3 linked regions of the Mus musculus genome follow. The protein of the gene in region 1 interacts with the protein of each later gene in a biochemical or structural test. Links are inferred from orthologs where the notes say so. Each region holds a gene or a part of one and is shown on either strand. Other genes may lie near its edges.

What was found.
Region 2: the proteins of Lox (region 1) and Efemp2 form a complex in vitro, tested with the Homo sapiens proteins (2 studies listed by IntAct, with this or other methods). The link is inferred for Mus musculus from reciprocal best matches to the Homo sapiens genes LOX and EFEMP2.
Region 3: the proteins of Lox (region 1) and Eln form a complex in vitro, tested with the Homo sapiens proteins (2 studies listed by BioGRID and IntAct). The link is inferred for Mus musculus from reciprocal best matches to the Homo sapiens genes LOX and ELN.

What each region holds. Positions count from the first base shown.
Region 1 is NC_000084.6:52,518,469-52,526,146, reverse strand, and holds part of Lox (protein-lysine 6-oxidase preproprotein), read left to right. Parts: intron 1-907; coding exon 908-1,064; intron 1,065-4,808; coding exon 4,809-4,904; intron 4,905-5,237; coding exon 5,238-5,353; intron 5,354-6,913; coding exon 6,914-6,920; 3' UTR 6,921-7,678. UniProt on the Homo sapiens protein: Responsible for the post-translational oxidative deamination of peptidyl lysine residues in precursors to fibrous collagen and elastin. Regulator of Ras expression. May play a role in tumor suppression. Plays a role in the aortic wall architecture.
Region 2 is NC_000085.6:5,470,784-5,479,205, reverse strand, and holds the start of Efemp2 (EGF-containing fibulin-like extracellular matrix protein 2 isoform 1 precursor), read right to left. Parts: upstream 4,517-8,422; 5' UTR 4,432-4,516; exon of another isoform or gene 4,196-4,431; coding exon of another isoform or gene 4,139-4,195; coding exon 4,028-4,138; intron 3,799-4,027; coding exon 3,750-3,798; intron 3,141-3,749; coding exon 2,934-3,140; intron 1,645-2,933; coding exon 1,522-1,644; intron 1,280-1,521; coding exon 1,163-1,279; intron 1,006-1,162; coding exon 886-1,005; intron 1-885. UniProt on the Homo sapiens protein: Plays a crucial role in elastic fiber formation in tissue, and in the formation of ultrastructural connections between elastic laminae and smooth muscle cells in the aorta, therefore participates in terminal differentiation and maturation of smooth muscle cell (SMC) and in the mechanical properties and wall integrity maintenance of the aorta.
Region 3 is NC_000071.6:134,707,422-134,715,099, forward strand, and holds part of Eln (elastin precursor), read right to left. Parts: intron 6,634-7,678; coding exon 6,574-6,633; intron 5,270-6,573; coding exon 5,129-5,269; intron 5,045-5,128; coding exon 4,985-5,044; intron 3,800-4,984; coding exon 3,641-3,799; intron 2,725-3,640; coding exon 2,686-2,724; intron 653-2,685; coding exon 551-652; intron 463-550; coding exon 400-462; intron 230-399; coding exon 89-229; intron 1-88. UniProt on the Homo sapiens protein: Major structural protein of tissues such as aorta and nuchal ligament, which must expand rapidly and recover completely.

The sequences.
Region 1 (7,678 bases):
AGTATCTCATAGCAACCCCTCCAGAGTATAGTTTTTGTTTGAAATCATCAGCACATCACCAATATCAGCAGTGGCAGCCAGAGAAATACACTAGAAACTGCACAGGTTACAAGGACATATAATCAATTGTTTATATTTAATGTTCAAACATAAAGCCTATATAAAGGAATCGATACCACAGTGTCTTTACCACCTAGTAAAGTTAAAAACCTCACAATGTTCTTTTAAAAGTGTGTGGCATGAATATCTCTTTAAGAAGATAAATTTGGGAGCCAGGCATGGTGGCATATGCCTTTAGTTCCATCACTTGGGTGGCAGAGGCAGGCAGATCTCTGAGTTCAAGAGTCTACAGAGTAAGTTGCAGGACAGCCAGAGCTACAAAGTTTCAAGAGGAAATTTATAATTATACATATATATATATATATATATATATATATATATATATATATACACACACATATATATGGAGTGGACAAAGTTTCAAGAGGAAAGACACACACACATGTATATATATATATATATATATATATATATATATATATATATATATATATATATCTGGGTTGGAATGATGGCTCTACAAGAGCACTTGGAGAGGACCCAGGTTCAATTCCCTGTATCCACATGATGGTTCACAAATGTCCAGTTCCAAGGGATTAGAAGCCCTCTTCTAACTTCCTCTGGCACTAGGCAGGAAACTGGTGCACATACATACTACTTATAGACAAAACATTCATACACATAAAATAAATCAATCTAAAAAAATAAAAACAAGAAGATGAATTTATCCTGTTTTAATTTGTGAGCACAGCACCATTTAATTTATGAGTCAAGGAAGTTATTTAGCATCCTCATTGCTTTGTCTATGTGCCACTGACTGCTGTTTCTTTGTTGTGTGGGACATTAGACATTACCACAGCATGGACGAATTCAGCCACTATGACCTGCTTGATGCCAACACACAGAGGAGAGTGGCTGAAGGCCACAAAGCAAGCTTCTGTCTGGAGGACACGTCCTGTGACTATGGGTACCACAGGCGCTTTGCGTGCACTGCACACACACAGGTAGGCAGGTCCCCTGACATCTGGAGCCCACAGACCTCCAGGAAAGTGACAGCAAGTCAGTTGCTGTTTTCTTTCTTTCCTCTCTTCTTTTTTAAAAAATATTTTGTTTCATTTTAAGGTTACCTTATCAACATGGGATACTTCAGATTGGGAGAAGGGAGATGACTGGGTGGTGCAGATTGCTTTTAAAGTGTTTCCAGCTGTACATGTAACCCCTGCTGGAGATCACAGGAGGGCAATGTGGATCCTTGCTTCATAACACAATGAAAAGTAGTTAAGTTTCTGAATACACATGAGTGACTTACAACATCTGCCTTCATCCTGTGTTCTTCAATCAGCTATAATAACTGTTGGCAATATACGTCTGTTTTCTCACCTGCAAATCCATTTTGTTTTCCATTTTCATGCTTAATATGGAATAGTGCCTAAAGTTAGAACAAAGATTTGAAGGCAGGTTATTAAAAATACTTTAAACAGCATCACTTTTAATAATGCAAGTCAGAGCAGAAAGACACGTTTCTTATTCCACACATGTATATTTAAACCTCCGGTGTAATTAATGTCAGATGTCCTTTGGATAGATTTGTTTTTAATAGTGCTGAGTTGAGCGCTATTGTATGTCTTAGAATTGGAAAATGTGGGTCAGTTAAAAACTATGTCAGTATTTCCATCCACAACCCTAATTTGTAAAAGGACATTATAATTTTACTCCAGCCCTGCTCTTGGCAAGTAGTTCCTGAATATACATTACCCAGGGCACACAGACCTCAGCGGCTGTCATCTTGGGAAGCAGATTCCAGTACTGTGGCCAGAAGCTTTTTGGTGACCTACATGTGGTGACCATTCTTCTTTCCTCTGGGCTTAGCTCATCAAAGTGGTTAGACGGGGAAACAGTTATATTTAACATACGTTGGGAGGGGCAGGACATATGCTTTAAGTGAAAAATCTAACACACCCATATATTAAGCATATACCCTTGCAGAGATTGCCTTCGCATTCAGTGATCACCCCAAGAGGACCTGGAGCATGCATTTCCCTATTCTTAAAATGACACATGTTAATCATCTCTAAGCTAGAACACTTGCATTGGGGGAGGGGAAGGGTGTATACTTCAGCCACAGAGGCAGAGGCACCCCTATTCACTTGTGTAATCTCACTTTTTTAAAAAAATGTGGTAGCCTTCTTGTTTATCCTTTCCTGTGCATGCCTTAAAAATTCTTCACTAGGTCTTGCATTGTAAGTGATTTACGTATTTGTGTTTTTTAATAGTCCTTTGAACAGACTTCATTTATAGAAAAAACATTCACATAGGCCCCTAATATTGACTTTTATTAGTTTTGTTATACTAGTGCCGTCTTCCTTAAATGTATATAAGCATCTAACTAGGTATAACTTATGAATATATTGTATATCTAACCACGTGTTTTAAGATCATAAATTTACATACAGAATATATGCACAATTTAAAAATAGTTACATCACACTCAATGACCAAATGTTGCAGACAAGTATTTTTTATTGAAACCAAAGAACACATTTAGATAATCTTCAATGAAGTTCTATTTTCAATTTATTTTCACAATGGACTTCAAATACATGAAAAGTCTATTTGCTTAATGGCCTTGGCAGCTTCAGGCATTTGCTTGTTAGTTCAAATAAGCAAAGCTCAAAATTCACATTTTCTGCCAGCTGGTGAATCATAAAGTAATAGTGTCAGCTAGAAGTTTGTGTATGTGTGCCCACGCACACACAGGCTCGTGCATATGCGCTCACACACACACACACACACACACACTCGTCATCTAGCATTTGGGACAATAGGTATAGGCCAACAACAGCGTTTTGCAAACACTTTAATTGCCAGTGGTATTACTTATACCTGTCTGCAATGGTTATCTAATCCAGTGCACAATTTAGAGTCCTATGTGAGATAGCAGTAATGATTGTGACACCAGCAGGTACTACTTACTTACCGAGTGCCTAAGGTGACACAATCAGAGAAGGATGTGGTAGAACCTTAAAGTTCTTTCCTTTGTATTTCCTGTTCAACACATAAAATGAGAGCTGGTCAAGCTGGAAATCTAGGCGATTATGGCTCTTGCTCCTGTGGTTAAGTAATGTTGGGTTGGCCTGTCTATGTTGTCCTGTGCTATGGACAGCAGCATCTCTTACTCTTCCCAAATCCAGCTGCAGCCAAACCCACATCAGTAAAGCACATCGAGATTTTTGTTTTTGTTATCTTTGTTGACCAAGATGACCTTAAGCATCAAAGCAAACTCAAGAGACAGTTTTAAATGACACTGCTAAGTTCGAACGATTGTCACATACGCTTCTTTTTTTTTTCCATTTTTTATTAGGTATTTAGCTCATTTACATTTCCAATGCTAAACCAAAAGTCCCCCATACCCACCCACCCCCACTCCCCTACCCACCCACTCCCCCTTTTTGGCCCTGGTGTTCCCCTGTACTGGGGCATATAAAGTTTGCAAGTCCAATGGGCCTCTCTTTCCAGTGATGGCCGACTAGGCCATCTTTTGATACATATGCAGCTAGAGTCAAGAGCTCCGGGGTACTGGTTAGTTCATAATGTTGTTCCACCTATAGGGTTGCAGATCCCTTTAGCTCCTTGGGTTCTTTCTCTAGCTCCTCCATTGGGAGCCCTGTGATCCATCCATTAGCTGACTGTGAGCATCCACTTCTGTGTTTGCTAGGCCCCGGCATAGTCTCACAAGATATAGCTACATCTGGGTCCTTTCGATAAAATCTTGCTAGGGTATGCAATACGCTTCTTAATCAATTTTGGATTATCAGAATGGAAATGCTACAGTTAAAAGTTCTCATGTGGAAATAAGAAAATGCCCATGCCCCAACCGAAGGAAATTTCTGCAGACTCTTGATAGCAAGAAGCATATGTATGTTCTTGGCATTTTTCTCCTGGCAGCCTTGTGAGACACCCATTGACTTGCTGGTGGAAATGTCTTAGCAAGTGGACGGATATGGCTTTGACCAGTTTGGGCAAAAATCCGTCCTTCTGACTCCACAAAGATCTCACTGATTATTTGAGAGAGGGAATGTGATAGTTAAGAAAAGGTATTCTGGACCTTGTTTATATAATCCTGAAACAAGCTCAGTCACTGCTCAGCTTTTACCCCTGAATCAGTCATTTGGTCTTAGCATGCCTTGGGTTTCTCAACCATAAAATGGAGACAGAAACACACCTGAGTTCTGGAGTTGTGAGAACTGACTATATATGGTTTTGGTTAAATAATAAATGTTAGCTATTCAAGAATGCAATTAGACTGTACCTATCCTTAAGGGGTTTATATAATATGATTTTAATATAAAGCAGAAGAGAATAGATGCTACAAAGCTACACAAGACAAAATATCGTTGTCATCCAGAACATAGGAAGGTCACTGCAGGGAATCTCGCTAATAGGACACTGCAAATGAATTACTGTGAGACATTTCTTCCTGATATGTTTGCTACTTTTGAATGGTGCTGGAGGCCTAATTTGTTGCTTAGGACTATTTCTACTGGTGACTTTAGAAGTAGGGCACATTTCTTCATGTTGCAAACTTGCAGCTGTTGAATAACTAGATATTATAAGATGGGCTAAAGTGTGTTCTGGTTTTTGTGTCCAATTCTTGTGGGTACTAACTCAAGGTTTCATTGATAGATAATATCATATAATCAGTCTGGTCACATCCTATAGTTTAATTTTGAAGTGTTTTCTGATTTCAGGGATTGAGTCCTGGATGTTATGACACCTATGCGGCAGACATAGACTGCCAGTGGATTGATATTACAGATGTACAACCTGGAAACTACATTCTAAAGGTAGGGGCTTTGAAGATGTGTAATTTACCACCACTCTCTTTTTCTGGATTCAAATATTAAATAACCATCTGTTTGAAAGTACTTAGACAACTTTCAGAACAATTGTTAAGCAATCTACGTTATGATTTTTTAAAGAACTTGGGGAGATCTACACAACTTCCTTTTGTAATATCTCCAGTATGTTTAACTACCTTCTTCACCTAAACTCCTTTTCTTGCTTGATGTAGATGAGTCCCTTGTTAGTAATTTCACTGTAGCATTATAGAAATAGGAGGGAAGAACAGTATCCATTAAGTATAAAATCTTTCACACGGTGCTATTTTTCTTGTTCAGGTCAGTGTAAACCCCAGCTACCTGGTGCCTGAATCAGACTACACTAACAATGTTGTACGCTGTGACATTCGCTACACAGGACATCATGCCTATGCCTCAGGCTGCACAATTTCACCGTGAGTATTATTTGGCAAGCCAAATGATATTCTTTTCTTCCTTCGTTTCTTTCTTTCTTTCCTTCTTTCTTTTTCTTTCTTTCTTTCTTTCTTTCTTTCTTTCTTTCTTTCTTTCTTTCTTTCTTCCTTCCTTCCTTCCTTCCTTCCTTCCTTCCTTCCTTCCTTTCTTTCTTTCTTTCTTTCTTTCTTTCTTTCTTTCTTTCTTTCTTTCTTTCCTCCTTTCTTTCTTACAAGGAGGTTCGTACTTGATTTTTAACAAGCAGTATTGATCAGATGGAAATATAACGTTAAGCAAAGTTAATTATTCTTAATAAAATAAATATCCTACTTAATCTATGAGTGAGAAATAAGAAATGCTCAGAAGAGGAAAAGCCCTTACCTGGAGGGCAATCATACTTGCCTCTTACTCTGACTTTCACCTCCAAGTTCCATAGAAAGTGTTCCTTAGAACACGACTGGAGAGTGCCTTTAGGACAGCATGTGAGTTTAGCCTTGAGGGCTCTCAAGTACAAAAAGTACAAAAGCAGAGTTGACAAGGAGCTTGCATTGTAGGGGTCAGATTCGTGGGCAACTGCAGGGCAGGAGTGAGTTGCAGGCAGTGTTTGCAAAGGCTGCTTCCAGTTGGGTTTGTCAGCTGTGCTCTGATCAACAGAACAACTGAAAAGCAAACTAAGAATTTTGAGTTTCTCTCCAAAGACCATGAAAAATCTGACATTTTTTTTTTTTGAGCAGGAGTGTAGTGCATCTGAAGCTATGTGAACAGTCTGATGGCCACCTGTGTGTGACCTCATGCTGTCATTACAGGCCCCCCCTCCCCACCTCTAATGACATGTCACTGTTAGTTTAGTACCGATTGTTTTGCATGCCAGTTAGATACTTGAAACCATTCTGGTGTGATGTAAAATCTACCCAATAATTTGGTGTGTTCCATTCCTGGAGTCTCTGCCCTCAGTCTTCCCAGATGTGTCAGGCCTTTTCCACCTCTGCAAAGCTTTCTCCTCACAGACCTTTCTAGTTAATGATTTGCACCCAAATGGATTCTTCCTTGCATGATGACCAATATTTCAACATAAAGATACCTACTTCTGTCTCTGTTCCTATCTCTGCCCATTAATGTGTCATTCTGGGCCCAAAAAACCATGGAGACAGAGAAGGGAAAATGCAAGATGGTGCAGAGGCCATGACTGTGCCTCCTGGCAGATGTATCACTCTTGTTCCGTAGAATGAGCTTGCCGGCTTGGTTGCTGGATCCCTGAGTCCTGCTTGACTTTTTCTCGTTTCAATTTTATTTTTATTTATTTACTTACTTATTTGGTTGTTTTGCCTTTTAAACATTCAGGCTGTGGACATCAGGCAATGTTCTTCATATTATTGTCATATTCCTTCCCTCTGATCACTGTGAGATCATGTTCTAATAGTAATTTTACAAGGTGATAGTTGCTAGGGCAGAGAGACATTGCTCCATCAAGTTTTGAAAAGGCTGACTAAAATGTTATTTGTTGTGCGCACTCATGATATTATCCTGCTGATAACCTGTCCCATTGTGTTTTCTCAACCTAGGTATTAGAAAGAAGCCCAGTTCCCAGTGGATAAAGCCGTACCTGGTGTTTGGACATATGGAAACTATAGATTAGCTTAAGTAGGAAGGACTTACATATTTTAAAAGACAAACAGTAAACAACAAAGGAGGTTTTGTTTGGACTCTTTCGCAACAAATGACATAACTGGATTTTGAGTGTTTAAACCAACAATATTTGGCAAATTTTAAATCCTTACTCATGTTATTTTGTGAATTAGCAGTGTTTCAATTCTGTGGGTGCATAGTGGGCTCTTTCAAAGAACTCTGAATTTCTTATGTTCTTTTGAAATTATAGTGCAAATGAGAAATTGATATTTTAATGAGTGAGCCACAATTTGAACGGATTCTTTTCTAAAGTGCTGAAACCAGTGAAACAATGATGATGAGCCTATATTTGCCTCGACTTAGATTGATTTTTTAAAAAGGTGTCCCTATTGTGTAAACAGAAATGGATACACTTGGTGCTGAGGAAGGGCCAAACATCTAACTATTGTTGTCATGAAGTATAATCAGAAAGATGGCGATATATGTATTCAGATAGTTACATCCCTATATAAAATTATGTTTACATTTTAGAGTTACTAGACAATTTCCTTTCTCTTAATTGCTTAATTTCACTCTGACTTGAGTCAACTTGTTTTGGAATGAATTGGAAAATTCCAAGATCCTGTTTGATACTTGTTGCTATTCGATCCCACGCTGCTTAGCTTTTCTGTGGGCAGAAATGTCTAATGTGACAATCAGCA
Region 2 (8,422 bases), on another chromosome or scaffold:
AAGGGTCCACATTGTGCCAGTCAAATGAGCAGGTGCCCCAAGGGGATAGCCGCTCTGTTCTTTTCAAGTCTTGCAATATGCGGTCAGAATGCCCAGACTTGGGCTAAGTGTGTGCCCCCCACCCTACCCCGAGCAGCATCCTATCTCTTTGCTTTTGTTCCTTTCACACAGCCGAACACCAATGATCCTGTGCTTCCCGGTAAAGCATAAAGTAAATGAGGGCATGCCAGGTAACACAGTGAGACGCCTGGGCTCACACCCCAGCCCGGCTCATCTTTCCCCTCTGAACTTGGACAGTCATGTCAATCTCAGTAAGTGGAAAGATGAAAGTCAGTACTTTCTCTGACCTCTCTGCTTGCTTTCCACAGTTCTGCCAACCTGGAGGAATATTAATGTCCTGTTTTACAAAAGTCAATCATCCCTGGCCAGACTAAATGAGACTGAAAATTTTAAGTGATAAACAAATGGTGCTTCCCACTATTTCTGCCTGAGACTTGATGAAGCCTGTTATCACTGCCCCTAATACTCAAATAACCTGTCTGCAGTAGACATGTGCCCAGAAAGAAGAGAAAACTTTCCCCAGTGTAGGATTCCAATGCAAGTCAACTCAACTTTCAGGAAGACTGGCACCTCCATCTTCTCTGTCTCTCTGGCAAGCTTCAGAAGCCCCTAGCATAGCATCCCCTCAAGCTGGGAGTGCCAAACGACAAGCTCAAGACGGAGCTTAGGGAGGCCTGTGAGTGCAAGGAGACGTGCGGAAGCCCCAAGCAAATGACCATGCGCCTGGAGTTGCTCCAATATGTTGCAAGTGCTAAGGGAGGCGGCAGAGGGGGGGGAGGCGGGGGGGGGGGGGATGCTGTATCCAGTAGCACAAGTGACTCTCACCGCTGCAGGAGAAGCCATCCCGGTGCAGCTCATAGCCCTGGTTACAGCGACACAGGAAGGTCCCATAGGAGTTGAAGCAGCGCTGCTCACATGGGGCTCCCATGTCACACTCATTCACATCTGAGGGTGCGAGGACAAACAGGAGGGTGAGAGCAGTGTCACGCCCAGACCCCCCCAAACACACACACACACTCAACTTGGGCTCAAGAAGAAGATCCTGCCCCCACGTCACACATCTCCACCCAGGATCCCAGAACCTTGTCTGGCACAGCCTCACCCACACAAGAGCGGTTGTTAGGTCCCAACTGGAAGCCTGGCTCACACTGGCATCGAAAAGAGCCCGGCAGGTTCACACATCGATGCTGGCAATAGCGGTAACGACACTCATCTATGTCTGAGATGGAGGTGGGGGAGGGAAAGTAGAACACAGGCCAGGTGGGGCCTGAGTTGGCTCACCTCGGCAACCACCCCTGCCCGCCCTCGTCAGCGAGCTGGGCTGAGTCACCCACATTTAATCTTCCGTGTCTAGTGACAGGAGTGCACTAGTAGCAGAGGACTGGGGTGAGGTAAGGCATCAGACCAGGAGCCAGACCAAGGTCACAGAACAAGAACCTAGCAGAGCCACTCAGAACTCACCCACACATTCGGGTCCAATTTTTCGGTAACCATCAGGGCAGGTGCACTGGTAGGAGCCAGGAAGGTTATGGCAGTCCTGACTAGGGCGACAGTCATGCAAAGCCTGGGTACACTCGTCCACATCTGTGAGAGACAGCATTCAGCCTTCGCCTGGAGGCCCCCATATGCTCCTGACCACGTGAGGGATCTCAATTCGGGAGGAGGCGGACTGCCCTAGACTCCATTCACATGGGCACGTGGGTGGTTGGCACTAAATCATGGATGTGTAATTCAGATCATCCCAATAGTACAAAAAAAAAAAAAAAAAAAGAGTCCACCAAGGAGTCACTAGGAGAAGTACCCACTAGGAGAGCATATTAAAATAAGGCCTTGTGGGGTCTGGTGGCACACACCTTTAACTCCACCACTGGGGGAGGACGTGGGGGGCAGAGGCAAGAGGATCTCTGTGGGTTCCAAGCTAGTTGTAGCTAGAGCTACAGAATGAGACACTGTCTTAAAAATAAATAAATACACAAACAAACAAAACCTTGTCCATTTACACCCCTCAGCTGACTCTAGGGCCAGGATCTTTCCTCCTCCAAGGCCAATGGTTCCCAAGGCTGACTCCAGATCAAAAAGCTGCCAGAGGCTGCGAGCAGAGCTCCTGTGTCTGTACAGGAAATGAGGGGCTGCCAGGGCCTTCCTGGGCCTGCAGACCATGCTAAGCCTGCAGTAGATGACGACTTGGATCTGTCTCTGAGGAGCCAGGGGGAAGAGGAGCATGAGGCCTGGGGATTTTATAGGGAACATTACTTTTACTAATTAATTAATTAATTAGCTCCCTTTTTGAGATAAGAGCTCACCCAGCTCAGGTCGTCCTCAGTCAAAGCCCTTACGGTTGAGGGTGCCCTTTACCTTCAGGTCTTCCTGCTCACATCTCCCCACTGGTGGGACTACAAGTGTCTGCTACCACACAGACCACAACTAGCTTGGAACCCACAGAGATCCTCTTGTTTTTGTGATGGTGGGGATCAAATCCAGAAACTGTCTCAAAATCGCCCCCAAAAGAAAACAAAAAAATAAATAAAAAACAAAAACAACAACAACAAAAACTAGGGAGGACCAAAAAGTGCTACTAGAAGATGAAAACAAACAAGAATGACATGTGCCAGGAGATGATACCATGATGGAACGCATTACTTTGTACAGTAAATACAAAATTAGTTTAAAAATTAAAAAAAAAAAAAGTCAGGAATGGTAACACACGCCTATAATCCCAGCACTCGGGAGGCAGAGGCAGGCAGATTTCTGAGTTCGAGGCCAGCCTGGTCTATGAGTTCCAGGACAGCCAGGGCTCCACAGAGAAACCCTGTCTCGGGGAAAAAACTCATAAACCGCGTGGAAGCCCAGACACCCGATCAGCCCTTGCTTACCCACACAGCTCTCCTGTTCATCAGGCTCGTAGCCCTGCGGGCAAGGGTTTGGTTGTTGAGCATGGGCCGCTGGCGGTGGAGGTCCTTCACCATGGAGATCACTGATGACGGCAGCAGAGCGAGGCAGACACAAATAACCCCCGTAGTGGTTGATGCATTTCATCTCACCCTTGCAAGCCTCCGGGATGGTCAGGCACTCGTTGACATCTGCAGAGAGGGGCCTGCTGGGCACAGCCAGTCACCTGGGCTGGCCCTGGAGGTAGTGGGAGGCAGATGCCCAACTTGGCCTTCTCTAAGCTGAGCAACAGAGCAAGACTTTCTCTCTGCTAGGCAAACTAAGGCTGCTGACCCAGAAGCCCTGCCAGGGATTGGCAGGACTGGGAGTGGGGCCCCCTGTTTCACACTGGTATCTCCATTCTCCTGCCTCCTCAAATCCCTGCCTCTACCTTTGCCCAAGAGAAATTTTGCGGGCCTGCCGACCCACGGGGCATGCACGGCTCTCCCAGGCTGCATTGGGATAAAGAGCTGGGCTAGGCAGGTACAGTGCAGTCCAGGGAAGGTGTGCGTATTTCCTTCTCTCTGGGCAATAGCCAGGTGCTCCCTTCCCTCCTGCAGGATAGAGGCCGTTTGTCCAGCTTCTTGAAGGGGCAGGGCTCCTAACTGAGTGGCACAAGGGAAGCATGGCTGGCTACCAAGCTGGACAGGGAAAAGGGCCATCAAGTTCCTGCAGCAGCTCTGGGAGGTAAGGTATCCCTGGGAAACAACAACCCCCTTCCCAGTTCCTGAAGATGGCTAGTACCCCAGACAGAGACTCACCCCGGCAGTGCTGGCTGTCTGCATCCCACTCATAGCCATCTGTGCATTCCTGGAAGGGAACCCGATGTGGCCAGTGACCACCCTGGCTGTCTCCACCAACTAGCCAGGCCAAGACCAGGGCCAGAGTTCAGAGTCATGCTCGGGTCAGCTCCACACAATGGCCTCCAGCTTTCCACCAACCAAGCCGGGGAGAATCTTGCCCAGAAGCAGCCTCCCCAGGATCCTGATCTCACTGTCCTTCCCATCCCATCCCAAGCTGGTGACCCCACGGTCCCCACCGTGTAGCTGTCCGGCTCCTCGGGATCCTGTGGGGACGCTGCTCCCAAGAGCAACAGCAGAAACGCCCAGAGCAGCAAAGACCCGGGGAGGCAGGAGGCAAAAGGGAGCATCCTGAGGCTGGGAGGTGGTGGGCAGAAGTCAGGGGTTTCTGCCACAGCACCCCCCATTCCCTCTATCTGGAAGGGGAGCCTGGGTCCCAGCTGTCTCGTCTCAGGACTGTGCTGAGGCTGGAACCTTCCAGGGCTGGGGACAGAATCCTTTCGCAGGCCTATGGCCCAGGCCCGCAATCCCGGACCGCCCCGCCCCCGCCCCGCGAGTCGTGAAGCGCAGGCCTCCCCGCTCCGCGCAGCACCGACTCGGCCGCCAAACGGCCCGCGCCCTCCCTCCGCTGGAGGCCACTCACGCGTCGACTCCAGCAGTGCCTGCGGGCGGGCGGACGGACGGACGGACCGCGCAGCTCACTGGACGCGCGGCCCCAGGAAGCGCCCCCCGCCCGCCCGCCGGCCGCGGCCCACCCCGGCGCCTCCGCCCGCCCTTCGGCGGATTCCTGAGCCCGCGCCAGGGGGAGGGACCCCGACCCCCCGGCTTCTCCGCCCCGGCCGGCCACAGGCCCCCACCCGGTCCCCCGCGGCGCTGCCTGGAGTCGCCTGCGGACGCCCAGCCAGAGTTTCCCAAAGTTTGGATCCTTAGGCCACTGACCTTGATGCTTGGCCCCCAAACTCACCTAAGGACCCCGGGCCTTCACTCAAAATGTTATTCTGCCCACCTAGACCCTATCTAACCTGTGCCTCCGGAATCCCATGCTGTGCATTCGCACCTCCGTGTAACCCGATTCTGCGCCTCCCAGAACCTACTAGGCATTTAATCCTCAGAGCTTCAAATTCTACTCCTTTCAGAATTTTATCCAGTGTTAAACCATCATCACTTAGATGATCCTAAAACTTCATCCAAGGTTTCCAGACCCTCGTCCAACTTAATTAATTGTCCAAATTAATTGTCCAATTCCCTCTGCATCCACATCCACGGCCTCCAGGTGGTCTCTTTACTTGGGGTACTGCTTCCCCAAGCCGTGCCAGCGCAAAACTACAGTAGTATGGGGGAGAGGGCAGCAGTATTCTTGGCTCGAAATGAATGGAAGCCCCTGGGAAGGCGGGCAAGCTTGAACTTGGGCGCGGAGGACACTAGGGCCCAGTGCCAGCCCTTTCCCGAGCCTCTTCCCATCCAAGTCCCCCACCCAGTTTCCGCCTCCGCCCCCAGCGGAGATCATGCCTTGGAGGCGGAGTCTGGGTGCCTCCAGCGCCCAGGAAGGGGTGAATGGGCGGGACTTCGCGTTGCCCACGTCTCAAGGCGGGCCTAGACGGGAAAGGGTTGCGTGTCCAGGGTTCCCGTGCCTGGCCCAGACCGCTAGCGGCAATAACCAGGTCTTCCTTAACTTTCCCTTACCCAACCTCTTTCCATCTTGTTTGTTTGTTTGTTTTTGTTTTGTCATTTTGAGACAGGGTCTCACATTGTGTAACTCTGACTGTTCTGGAACTCACTAAGTAGATGAGGCCTCGAACTCACAAAGATCCGCCTGTTTCTGCCTCCTAGGCTCTGGGATGAAAGGTGTACACTACCATGCTCCGCTCTGCCTTGACGTTTAAAAAAAAAAATCTGCTTCATTTCATTTAACTGTCTGAGTGGTAATGTATGTGGTATATTCGTGTGTACCTATTCACCTTATGTTTTAAGACAGGGTTTGTCGCTGGAAATTACTAATTTAGCTAGATTGCGTGGCCAGAGTGCCAGAGTGGTCTGCCAGTCTTCACCTCCCTGGCCCTCTAAGGGTTACAAACCTGCATCACCACTATAGCTGGCCTTTATGCTAGGGCTGGAAATCTGAACCCAGACCCTCATGCTGTGTAGCAAGCGGTTTACCCAATAAGACATTTCCTCAGCTTCCATTGCCTTGATTAGAAAAAAGAAAAAAAAATTAACGGGCTGGAGAGGTGGCTCAGCAATTAAGAGCAATGACTGCTCTTCCAGAGGTCCTGAGTTCAATTTCCAGTAACCACATGGTGACTCACAACCATCTGTAATGGGGATTGGATGCCCTCTTCTGGTATGTCTGAAGACAGCAACAATGTACTCACATACATGAAATAAATTAATAAATCTTTAAAAAAAAAAAAAGAAAAAATAAAAAAATTAACTTTTAATGATGCATATACATGTGTATCTGTGTGTTGGTATATACACCCGAGTGCAGGTGTCCACAGAGGCCAGCAGTGTCCCCTGGACCTGGAATTACAGGAAGTTGTTAACTGCCCGATGTGGGAACCAATCTCAGGTCATCCGGAAGAGGAATACTGGAGCCATTTCTCCAGCACTGACTTTTTTAAGCAATAGAGGGTGAGGGGTGTAGCTCAGTAGCATCCTGCTTGCTTAGCATTACCAAGATCCAAAGTTCAATCCCAGGAACTAACTCCTGACACACTAGAGTGTGTGTGTGTGTGTGTATGTACATGAGTGTGTGTGTATGGATGTGAATGTATGTACGTGAGTGTAAGTGTATGAGTGTGTTAATGTGTGTGTGAATGTCTGTGTATGTGAGTGTATGAGTATATGTGAATGTATGTGTGTGAGTGTAGAGTGTTCATGTGTGTGAATGTCTGTGTATGTGAGTGTATGTTATGAGTATATGTGAATATATGAGTGTGAATGTGAGTGTAAAGTGTGCGTGTGAGCTGGGCGTGGTGGCGCACGCCTTTAATCCCAGCACTTGGGAGGCAGAGGCAGGCGGATTTCTGAGTTCAAGGCCAGCCTGGTCTACAGAGTGAGTTCCAGGACAACCAGGGCTACACATACAGAGAAACCCTGTCTTGAAAAACCAAAAGAAAAAAAAAAAGAGTGTGCATGTGAGTGTGTGAATATGTGTTGGAATTCTGAGGTAGAACAAAGCCCACAGAGAGAAGTGTGAGGAAGAGATGGTCCTGAGCAAATGTGTACTGTTGATATTAACATAGTCATGTGAAGGGCCCCAATCACTCAGACCCGTGGGGATGGCAGGGCCTTCTCCAGGTCAGGCTCAGGCGGGGCCATCCATGAGGACAGATGCTGACAGTATGTGTATTTTGAAAGCCCAGATGACTGTAGCCTGAAACTGCTCCCCTGCAGAGATCCCCTAAGGATTAGCTTCAGCTCATATAATGAATCAGCTGAGTTTCCAGGCTGCTGCTGTCTCCCTCAGAACACATGGCCCGTTCCCCGGGTTTTCTTTATGCCTGTCTGTTGTTTCTTCATTCCCCATTGCCAATCAGGCCAATCTCAAAGCTTAATGGGGGGGCGGGGGGCAGAAGAAAAAGAGAGAGAGAGAGAGAGAGAGAGAGAGAGAGAGAGAGAGAGAGAGAGAGAGAGAGAAAGGAAAGGAAGAGAAGATAAATATAAGGAAAAATACCTGGCTTAGTGGCACATAGGAACGAGGTGGATCTCTGAGTTTGAGACCAGCTTAGTCTCCATAGGGAATTCCAGGACTGGCTATATTGAGAGACCCTGTCTCAAATATACATATAATCCTTTCGGGGTTTTGTTTGTTTTGGGGGGGGACTTTTGTTTTGTTTTGTTTTTTGTTTTTGTCTTGGTGTTTCAGGCAAAGTCTCTTTACATAGCCCTGGCTGTCCTAGAACTCACTATGTAGATCACACTATTCTCCAACTTAGAGATCCGTGGGTCTCCGCTTCCTGAGTGCTAAGATTAAAGGTGTGCACCGCCACACTGGCTTACATATATATTTTCTTAAAAGGTAAATTGCAGCTGGGCAGTGGTAGCATACAACTTTTATCTCAGCTTGAGAGAGGCAGAGGCAGGTAGATCTCTGTGAATTTGAGGCCAGCCTGGTTTACATAGTGAGTTTCAGGGCAGCCAGAGCTACACGGTAAGACCTTGTCTTGAAAACAAAAAGACAAAACAAACAATAAACAAACAAAAGAACCAAAAGGGCAAGTTGCATAGTAAGTGACTTACATCTCAGTTAATCTGTTTGTTGTTCTTGTTTGAAACAGGGGCTCTTTTTTTTTTTTTTTTTGATTTTTGAGACAGGGTTTCTCTGTGTAGCCCTGGCTGTCCTGGAACTCACTCTGTAGACCAGGCTGGCCTCGAACTCAGAAATCTGCCTGCCTCTGCCTCCCAAGTGCTGGGATTAAAGGCATGCGCCACCACTGCCCGACAGACACAGGGACTCATATATATAGCCCAGGCTGGTCTGGAACTTTTTAGGAAAACAAAGCTAGTCTTGAACTCCTAGGGAGCCTCTTGTCTCAGTCTCCTAAGTGCTAGAATTACAGGCATGAGCCACCATAACCACCTAATTAAGCTGTTAATAATGTTAAGTAAAAGTCCTGATTATTAAGCTCTAA
Region 3 (7,678 bases), on another chromosome or scaffold:
GGATGACAGTCTGTTTGTCTTCATACCGGCTTTGGTACGCCTCTTTCTCCTTCTCACTTACTCCTTAACTCCAAGGCCTGCAGCTTACCTCCACCAGCTCCCAGTCCACCGGCTCCCAGTCCACCAGCTCCCAGTCCACCGGCTCCCAGTCCACCAGCTCCCAGTCCACCGGCTCCCAGTCCACCGGCCCCCAGTCCACCGGCTCCCAATCCTCCGGCTCCACCAAGGCCTGAGTGAGGGGAGACCCATGCATTACACACACTGTCAGAAGACTCTCATTAAGACCCTGTTGGCAAGGGGTCTCTGAGCTCCCAGTCATCTCTGGGATTCCCAATGGCCAGAAAGTGGCTGGGCCCCAGGGGCTTAGGGATTGGCCAGGGAAGCTGAACTCTTGCTTACCATACTGGGCAGCCTTAGCAGCAGCTTTGGCAGCAGCAGCGGCAGCAGCAGGGGGTGCAGCTCCTGGGAACACAGGGACTCAAGGAGGAACTGCATGGGAGTCTCAGGCTCCATTGCCAGCCAACCCATTTTGGGGACAGCAAAAACATACCTGCTACTCTACCGGGAACACCAGCCCCACCAAGTCCTCCAGGTCCACCGAGACCTCCAGGGCCACCGAGACCTCCAGGGCCACCAAGGCCACCTGCTGCTCCTGTGGAGAGAGGACCCTTAAGGGACAGTACCCATATTTTCATTTGTCGTTTGAAGACCAGATCACTTATAGCTCATGTTGGCTTTGGGTTTTCTGCATGGCTGAGGATGGCTTAGAACTCTTGACCCTCCTGCTTTCATCTCCTAAGTACAGGAGTTTATAGGCATATGCTATATATATATATATATGCCTAGAACTTTGTTCTTTTGACTTTTGTTTTTCTGTTTTTTGTTTTTTGTTTTTTTGTTTTTGTTTTTGTTTTTGTTTTTATTTCCCTAAGACAGGGTTTCTCTGTATAGCCCTGGTTGTCCTGGAACTCAGGCTGTAGACTGGGCTAGCTTTGAACTCAGAGATATACCTGCCTCTGCCTTATAAATGCTGGGATTAAAAGTACCACCACCACCCAGCTACTTTTTTTCTTTTTTAAAAGATTTATTTATTTATTTTATGTATATGAATACACTGTAGCTGTCTTCAGACAGGCCAGAAGAGGGCATCGGATCCCATTACAGATGATTGCTGGGAATTGAACTTAGGACCTCTGGAGTCAGAGCTGGACTTTAGAGGAGTCAGTGCTCTGAATCACGGAGCCATCTCTCCAGCCCCTACTTTTTTCTTTTCTTTTCTTTTTGTCCTAGTGAGATGGTCTCACTAAGTTGCTGAGACGGACCTAGAACTCATGACCTATTGATCCCATTTCAGCTTCCTGACTGCTAGGATGACAGGTAGCATCCTACCTTCAGAGTCCTATTTTTCAAAGATGTGTTCATACCCTAGGGACATAAGGCAGAAATGCAACCTAGACCTGTGGGACTCTAGGCAAGTTCTCTACCAGTGAATCGCAAACCCAGCCCCTCACTGGGGAATTCTAGGCAGGGGCTCTACCACTGAGCCACGCCCCCAGCCCTTCATTGGGGGATTCTAGGCAGGGGCTCTACCACTGAGCCATGTCTTCAAGCCCTTTGCTTGGGAATCTCAGGCAGGCACTCATCTTTCTTTGGATTATTCTTTTCTGAGTCAGGCTCTCGCTCTTTAGGCCATGCTACCTTTGAACCTGAGATTCTCCTGCCTCAGCCTTTGAAAAGCTGGCTTCCAGGTGTGGTCTGCCATTCTAGGCAGTCATACCAGTTTTACCGATGAGAAGGTTGAGGTAAGGAAGGGGTTAAACAGAATGCTGTGTTCAAGGTCCTAAGGGCAGGAAAGGCCCCAGTGGCTGCTCTTCCAGGAGAGCCTTAGTGCGTTTCCCTGGTAAAGTCTGTTGACTAGGGCCAAGAGCAGCTGGCACAGAACCTGAGAGGAAGCTGTGGGTGACCAGGGGCTGTGTGTGTGTGTGTGTGTGTGTGTGTGTGTAGCTGAGGAATGGGATTTTCCGAGGTGGAAATTGGCCTCAAGTAGATAAACTGTGGCCAGTTGGCGCATCCCTGGCAGAGGCCCCCCTGCCTGCCTCTTGAGGAGGCCAGGAATGTGGGGGTCACAGACAGTGTGGGTCTGGCTAGAGTGCCAAGTGGCAAGGCACGCGGGTCTGCCACGTCCTCCAGGCTGGAGTGTATTGGGCAAAGTCATGCTGACAGGAAAGGAGGAAGGAGGCCTGGGGATGCCTGCACAAGGAATATCCATAACCCCACAGCTCCTTGGCCAAAGGGCGGAGTGGAGCGGGGGCTGAAGCTGCCCAGTCTTGTAGGACCAACATCAGTGACATTCCCTCTGTTCCACAGAAACTGTCAGGGTCGGAGTGGAGCTTGGAGTTAGGAGTTGTTGTGGGTGAGACAGGGTATATATAATACAGCCCAGGTTGGCTTTGGACTCTCCCTGTAGCCAAGGGTAACCTCCTGGCTCCACTCTCCAGGAGCTGGGATTATAGGTGTGTACCACCATGTCAGGCACAGCAGGCGTGTTTGGCTGCCACACGGGGGTTAATGGGCAAGTGGTAGGACTATGGCTGTCATTCAGATGTCCCTCAGAATGACTGCTCAGCCCTATACTGTCAAGGCTGGTGGGAGTGACAAGGGGACCAGTTGATGTGTAGCACTCACCATATTTAGCAGCTTTGGATGCAGCCAGCGATCCAGGTACTGTGGAAAAAAGGAAAGCGGTCAGCTGCTGAGTTCTGGACCTGGGGTTCTGTAACCTCTTCCAGGAAGCCCATCCTGACTTCTTCTATCTAGATCATATGTTTTAAAGCCCTGAAACTCTATAGCACTCTAGCCAGGGGGCGGGGAGGGGTCACTTGTAGATACAGGGCTCCAGTATTTTACCCTGACATTGTACAACTGGGACTCTTATGCTTGTCCCTTCTTATACCCTCTAGGCCCAGTGTTGCCTTACTGTGACTGGGCCCATAGTGAGGTTCAGCAGTCACATGATGAAGAACTGGGGTTCCTAGTGACATCCTTGTCCTAGTGCATTTTCAGAAAGATAACAGACTGGCCTGGAGAAAGAAACTTCTACCTTCCTTTCTGTGGGTGTTAGGTGGGCTCTTTTAACTGGTCTACAGCCTCGTTATACCTCCCTCTAAAACCTTACATTCTGGAGTTGTTGGGCATCCCCTCCCTCTCGTACTACCCCATTTGCTCTATTTCTGCTTGGTACTGGAAATAGAACCCAGGACCTCACCCATGCTAGGCAGGGACTCTACCCCTGAGCCATATTCCGGCCTCTCACTGGGGGTTTCTAGGTAGGTGCTCTAACCATTGTGCTACAGTACTAGCCCCTGTTGTATCGTGTCTGTCTGTCTATCTTTTAAGATAGAATCTTACAATATTATGCAGGTCAGCCTTGGAGCCTTTCTACAGGGCAGGCTGGTTTTGAACTCATAAGCCTCATGTCTCAGCCTCCTGAGTAGCTGAGATGGCAGGCCTGTACCCATATGTTTTTGCCGGCTCAGGAAAACCTAATGGATGCTGGGTAGAGATAGAGTCCTGGGAGGAGGTGAGTCCTCTTTTTTTGAGCTCAAGTGTATTTTCTACCAAATTCTAGAATTTTCCTTACCTGCTCCAGCTCCAAATCCAGGGACACCAGCACCAGCCCCAAATCCGGGGACACCAGCACCAGCCCCAAATCCGGGGACACCAGCACCAGCCCCAAATCCGGGGACACCAGCACCAGCCCCAAATCCAGGGACACCAGCTCCAAGCCCAGCGGCAGCTCCTGCAGAGAGGAAGGTAGTAGATGGTTCTATATATGTGGAATGTTGCCCCTGGGAGGCGCCCTAACTCAGGAGCTGAGTCAGACCTCCAAGGGAGCAAAGGCCTCCTCCCCAGCTTAGTCCTCATCTGCCGGCTTACACCAGATTCAATACTTTTATTATTGTGTATCTAAATAATTTATTCTTATTTTATGTGTTTTGCCTGCGTGTTTGTGTGAGTATCAGATCTTGAAGGTATAGACAGTTGTGAGTTGCTATGTAGGTGATGGGAATTGAACCCAGGTCCTCTGGAAGAGCAGTCAGTGCTTTTAACCCTTGAGCCATGTTTCCAGCCCCAGTTCTTATTGTTTTTTTGAGACAAGGTCTTCTTGCTAGCCTGGAACTATATATAGACCAGGCTGGCATCAAACTCACAGAGATCTGCCTACCTCTGCCTCCCAAGTGCTAGGATTAGAGGTGTGCACTACCATTCTTAGCTTTTGGAGAAAATCTATTTAATTCCCACCCATGCCAAGGTCTCGGGTACCCAGGCTGGACTTAAACTGAAGGTACTCTTTTTGTTGTTGTTGTTGTTGTTGTTGTTTTGAGACAGGGTTTCTCTGTATAGCCCTGGCTGTCCTGGAACTCACTATGTAGACCAGGCTGGCCTCGAACTCAGAAATCCACCTGCCTCTGCCTCCCAAGTGCTGGGATTAAAGGCATGTGCCACTACACCTGGCTCTGAAGGTACTCTTGAATTGCTGGTCCCGTTGCTTCTATCTCACAAGCTCTGGGATGGGTTTATAGGTATGCACCACCATGCCTGTTTTAGGCAGTGCTGGGGATGGAAGCCAGGGCTTCGTGCATGCTAGGTAAGCCCTCTATCATCTGAAGCGCATCCTCACCCTGAACCTCTTACATTCTCCTAGTGACCTTCTATGTGTAGCCGTGCCATTGACCCCCACACACTTGATACATAAACTAAAAGAAGCCGGAAGCCACTCAGCTATCTTGGGAACCAAGACTGGAAGCCAGGCCTCCCTCTTGCTGGGTCTGTACTTCTGAGCCCTCTGCTAGGTGACATGGGCATCTTAAAGACAGTAGGGATGGATCTGAGAGGCTGTGTCCTGTGGCTGTGTCCTGTGGCTATGTGCCCTGGCCGGGTGGGGGTGGGTGGGGACAGCAGAGAGAAATCAAAGCGCACTTACTGTACTGGGCTTTGGCAGCTGCCTTAGCAGCAGATTTAGCGGCAGCCGGTGACCCTGCTCCTGGAGAGAGAGGAAGAATATTCAAGATGGCACCCGTGAAGATTCCAGGGAACCCTTAGTCTCACTCAATCCACCATAGCTCACCTCCAAGACCGCCAGGACCAGCTCCAATACCAGTAACACCACCAGGGCCAACTCCACCAGGAACCCCACCAACACCAACTCCACCGGGAATCCCACCAACACCAACTCCACCAGGAACCCCACCAACACCAGGACCCAAACCTAAAAGAGAAGGAATAGTTTATCTGTAATCAAGGCCTAAACAAAGAGAACAGGAGCTGTTGCAAAGAGCCTCAGCTGAGTCAGGAGCTGTGGGTTCCCTTCCCAGCCGTAGTAAAGACTTGCTGTGTGATCTTGGGGCCAGATACTTTGCTTTGCTGGGCCTCTTTTTGCTCCTATGTAATAAGAGTCAGATGTAAATCTAGTAGTTTGTAACCTTTTGAGGGATAGGGATACTTTGGAGGCTGGCTTGAGGACGGTGGAGGACAAGCAGGTTTGTTTTTTGTTGTTTGTTTCACTTTTTTCTTTTTTAGTATTAGAGAATAAATGGGAGGCCTTGAACATGCTGGGTAAGTGTTCTACCACTGAGCCACACCCCCGGCCCCTCCCTGGGGGATTTTAGGCAGGAGCTCTACCACAGAGCCACGCCCCCAGCCACTCCCTGGGGGATTCTAGGCAGGTGCTCTACCACTGAGCCACACCCCAGCCCCTCACTGGGGGATTCTAGGCAGGGCCTCTACCACTGAGCCATGCCCCCAGCCCCTCCCTGGGGGATTCTAAGCAGGAGTTCCACTGCTGCTGCTGAAAAGGTCCCATATTTATTATTATTATTATTATTATTATTATTATTATTATTACCTTTATTATTTACTTTGAGACAGGGTCTAACTAAATTTCTCAGCCTGGCCTTGTACTTTCAATACTCTTGCCTTAGCTCCTTGAGTAGCTGGGCCAAGACTCAGCACCCTCAGCCTATGACAGGACCCCAGCTGAGTTCCTAGAAGTGGAGCACCTACCATTAATCATATTCAGGATTAACACATTTAGGAAATGTATACATTCTTGGGGCTATTGAGGGTGACCTTGACATCTATCAAGAAATACAGCCCATCAAGGGGATAAGGCTGGACTCTAGTTTGAAATTCAGAAAAGAACCAGTCCTAGTTGGACTTGGGGAACCAGGAGCTTTCAGAAGTAGGTTGGGGCAGGTCATGGAGGGCTTGGCAGTCCTACACTGCTAGAGAGGAGCAGATAATCTAAAGGTTTGAGAGCAGCTCATACGCAGGGCTGGGGATGTGGCTTAGATAGTAGAGCGCTCACCTGGCACACAGTAAGTCCTGGGTTCTATCCCCTAGTACTGCATAAACAAAGTTCAGCACTACATGCCTGGAATCCCAGCATATGAGGGGTAGAGACAGAAAGAGCAGGAGATCAAGGCCACCCTTAGCTCCTCAGCAGGAGGTGTGAGAAGCCTCTGGTCTGGGGTCAATGGCCAGGTACAGAAGGGTACAACTTAGCATACTGACCTGCTTTGGCGGCTGCTTTAGCGGCGGCGGCAGCAGCTGCAGCTGCAGGGGTACCTGCTCCTATTTGGATAAAGAGATCATAAGATGAGGCAGCCCTGAGCCTATGGGGATTTCAGTCCTGTTTAGGATGCTCTTACATAAAAATTTCCTCGTAGCACTTTTATCCCAAGCTGTCATAGGAAATGACTCCTTCCTCATCCTTTAAAAAAAAAAAAAAAAAGGCGTCCCCGCACACACACGTTTACAAAAGTTTTGTTGGGCATTTAACTAAGAAAGTATTAACTATATAGATCTGTTTTGCGAAATTTGACTTCTCAGAGGTTTCTTCCCATATATGAGTACAGGAATCACACCATTCAGAGAGGTCCTCCTTGTCTTGTTTCTGATCCTACAATGTACTTGAGGCAGCGTCTCTCACTGAGTTCAGAGCTCGCTGTCTCAGCTATCCTAGCTAGGCAGCTTTGTCTGGGGAGTCCCTGTCTCCATCACCCATATCCTAACAGTACAGGCAGGCCACCATGGCCACTGGATTTTATGTGGGTTCTGGGGCTTTCACCTCTGCCCATCAGACTTATTGCAATGCACACATATGGGTGTCAGAAGACAACTTATGCCAGTCAGTTCTTTCCTTCCAACATGTAGGATTTCAGGATTCGAACTCAAGTCCCCAGGCTTGGCTGCATGTACCTTTACCCACAGAGTGACCCTTCTTTCTTTGCAATATCGGAAATGAACCTGAGCTCTTTTGCATGTTCCGCAAACATGTTCACTACTTAGCCACACTCCTAGTCCTAGTTCCTTTATAAACAAAAAAAAAAAAATTACAGAAGGATAGTTTTATCCTAGAGGGGGAAGAAGAATGCAGAAGAGAAATTGGGAAAGCCTTGAATACTAAGGCCTTTCAATCATCTCCCTTTGATCTCTGATTGGTGGATAACAAAGGACCTAAGGTCACTTGAGTGAAGGGTCTTCTGTTGGTAAGGAACTAGAGATACCCCAGAGGCAGATCACTGAACTCTGGGTGATAGGAGGCTCTAGAGCTGGCTGAGTCTCCCCAGGAAGGGAGAGGCTTGCCAGGGATCAGCAGCCAGGTCCCTATAGAGGG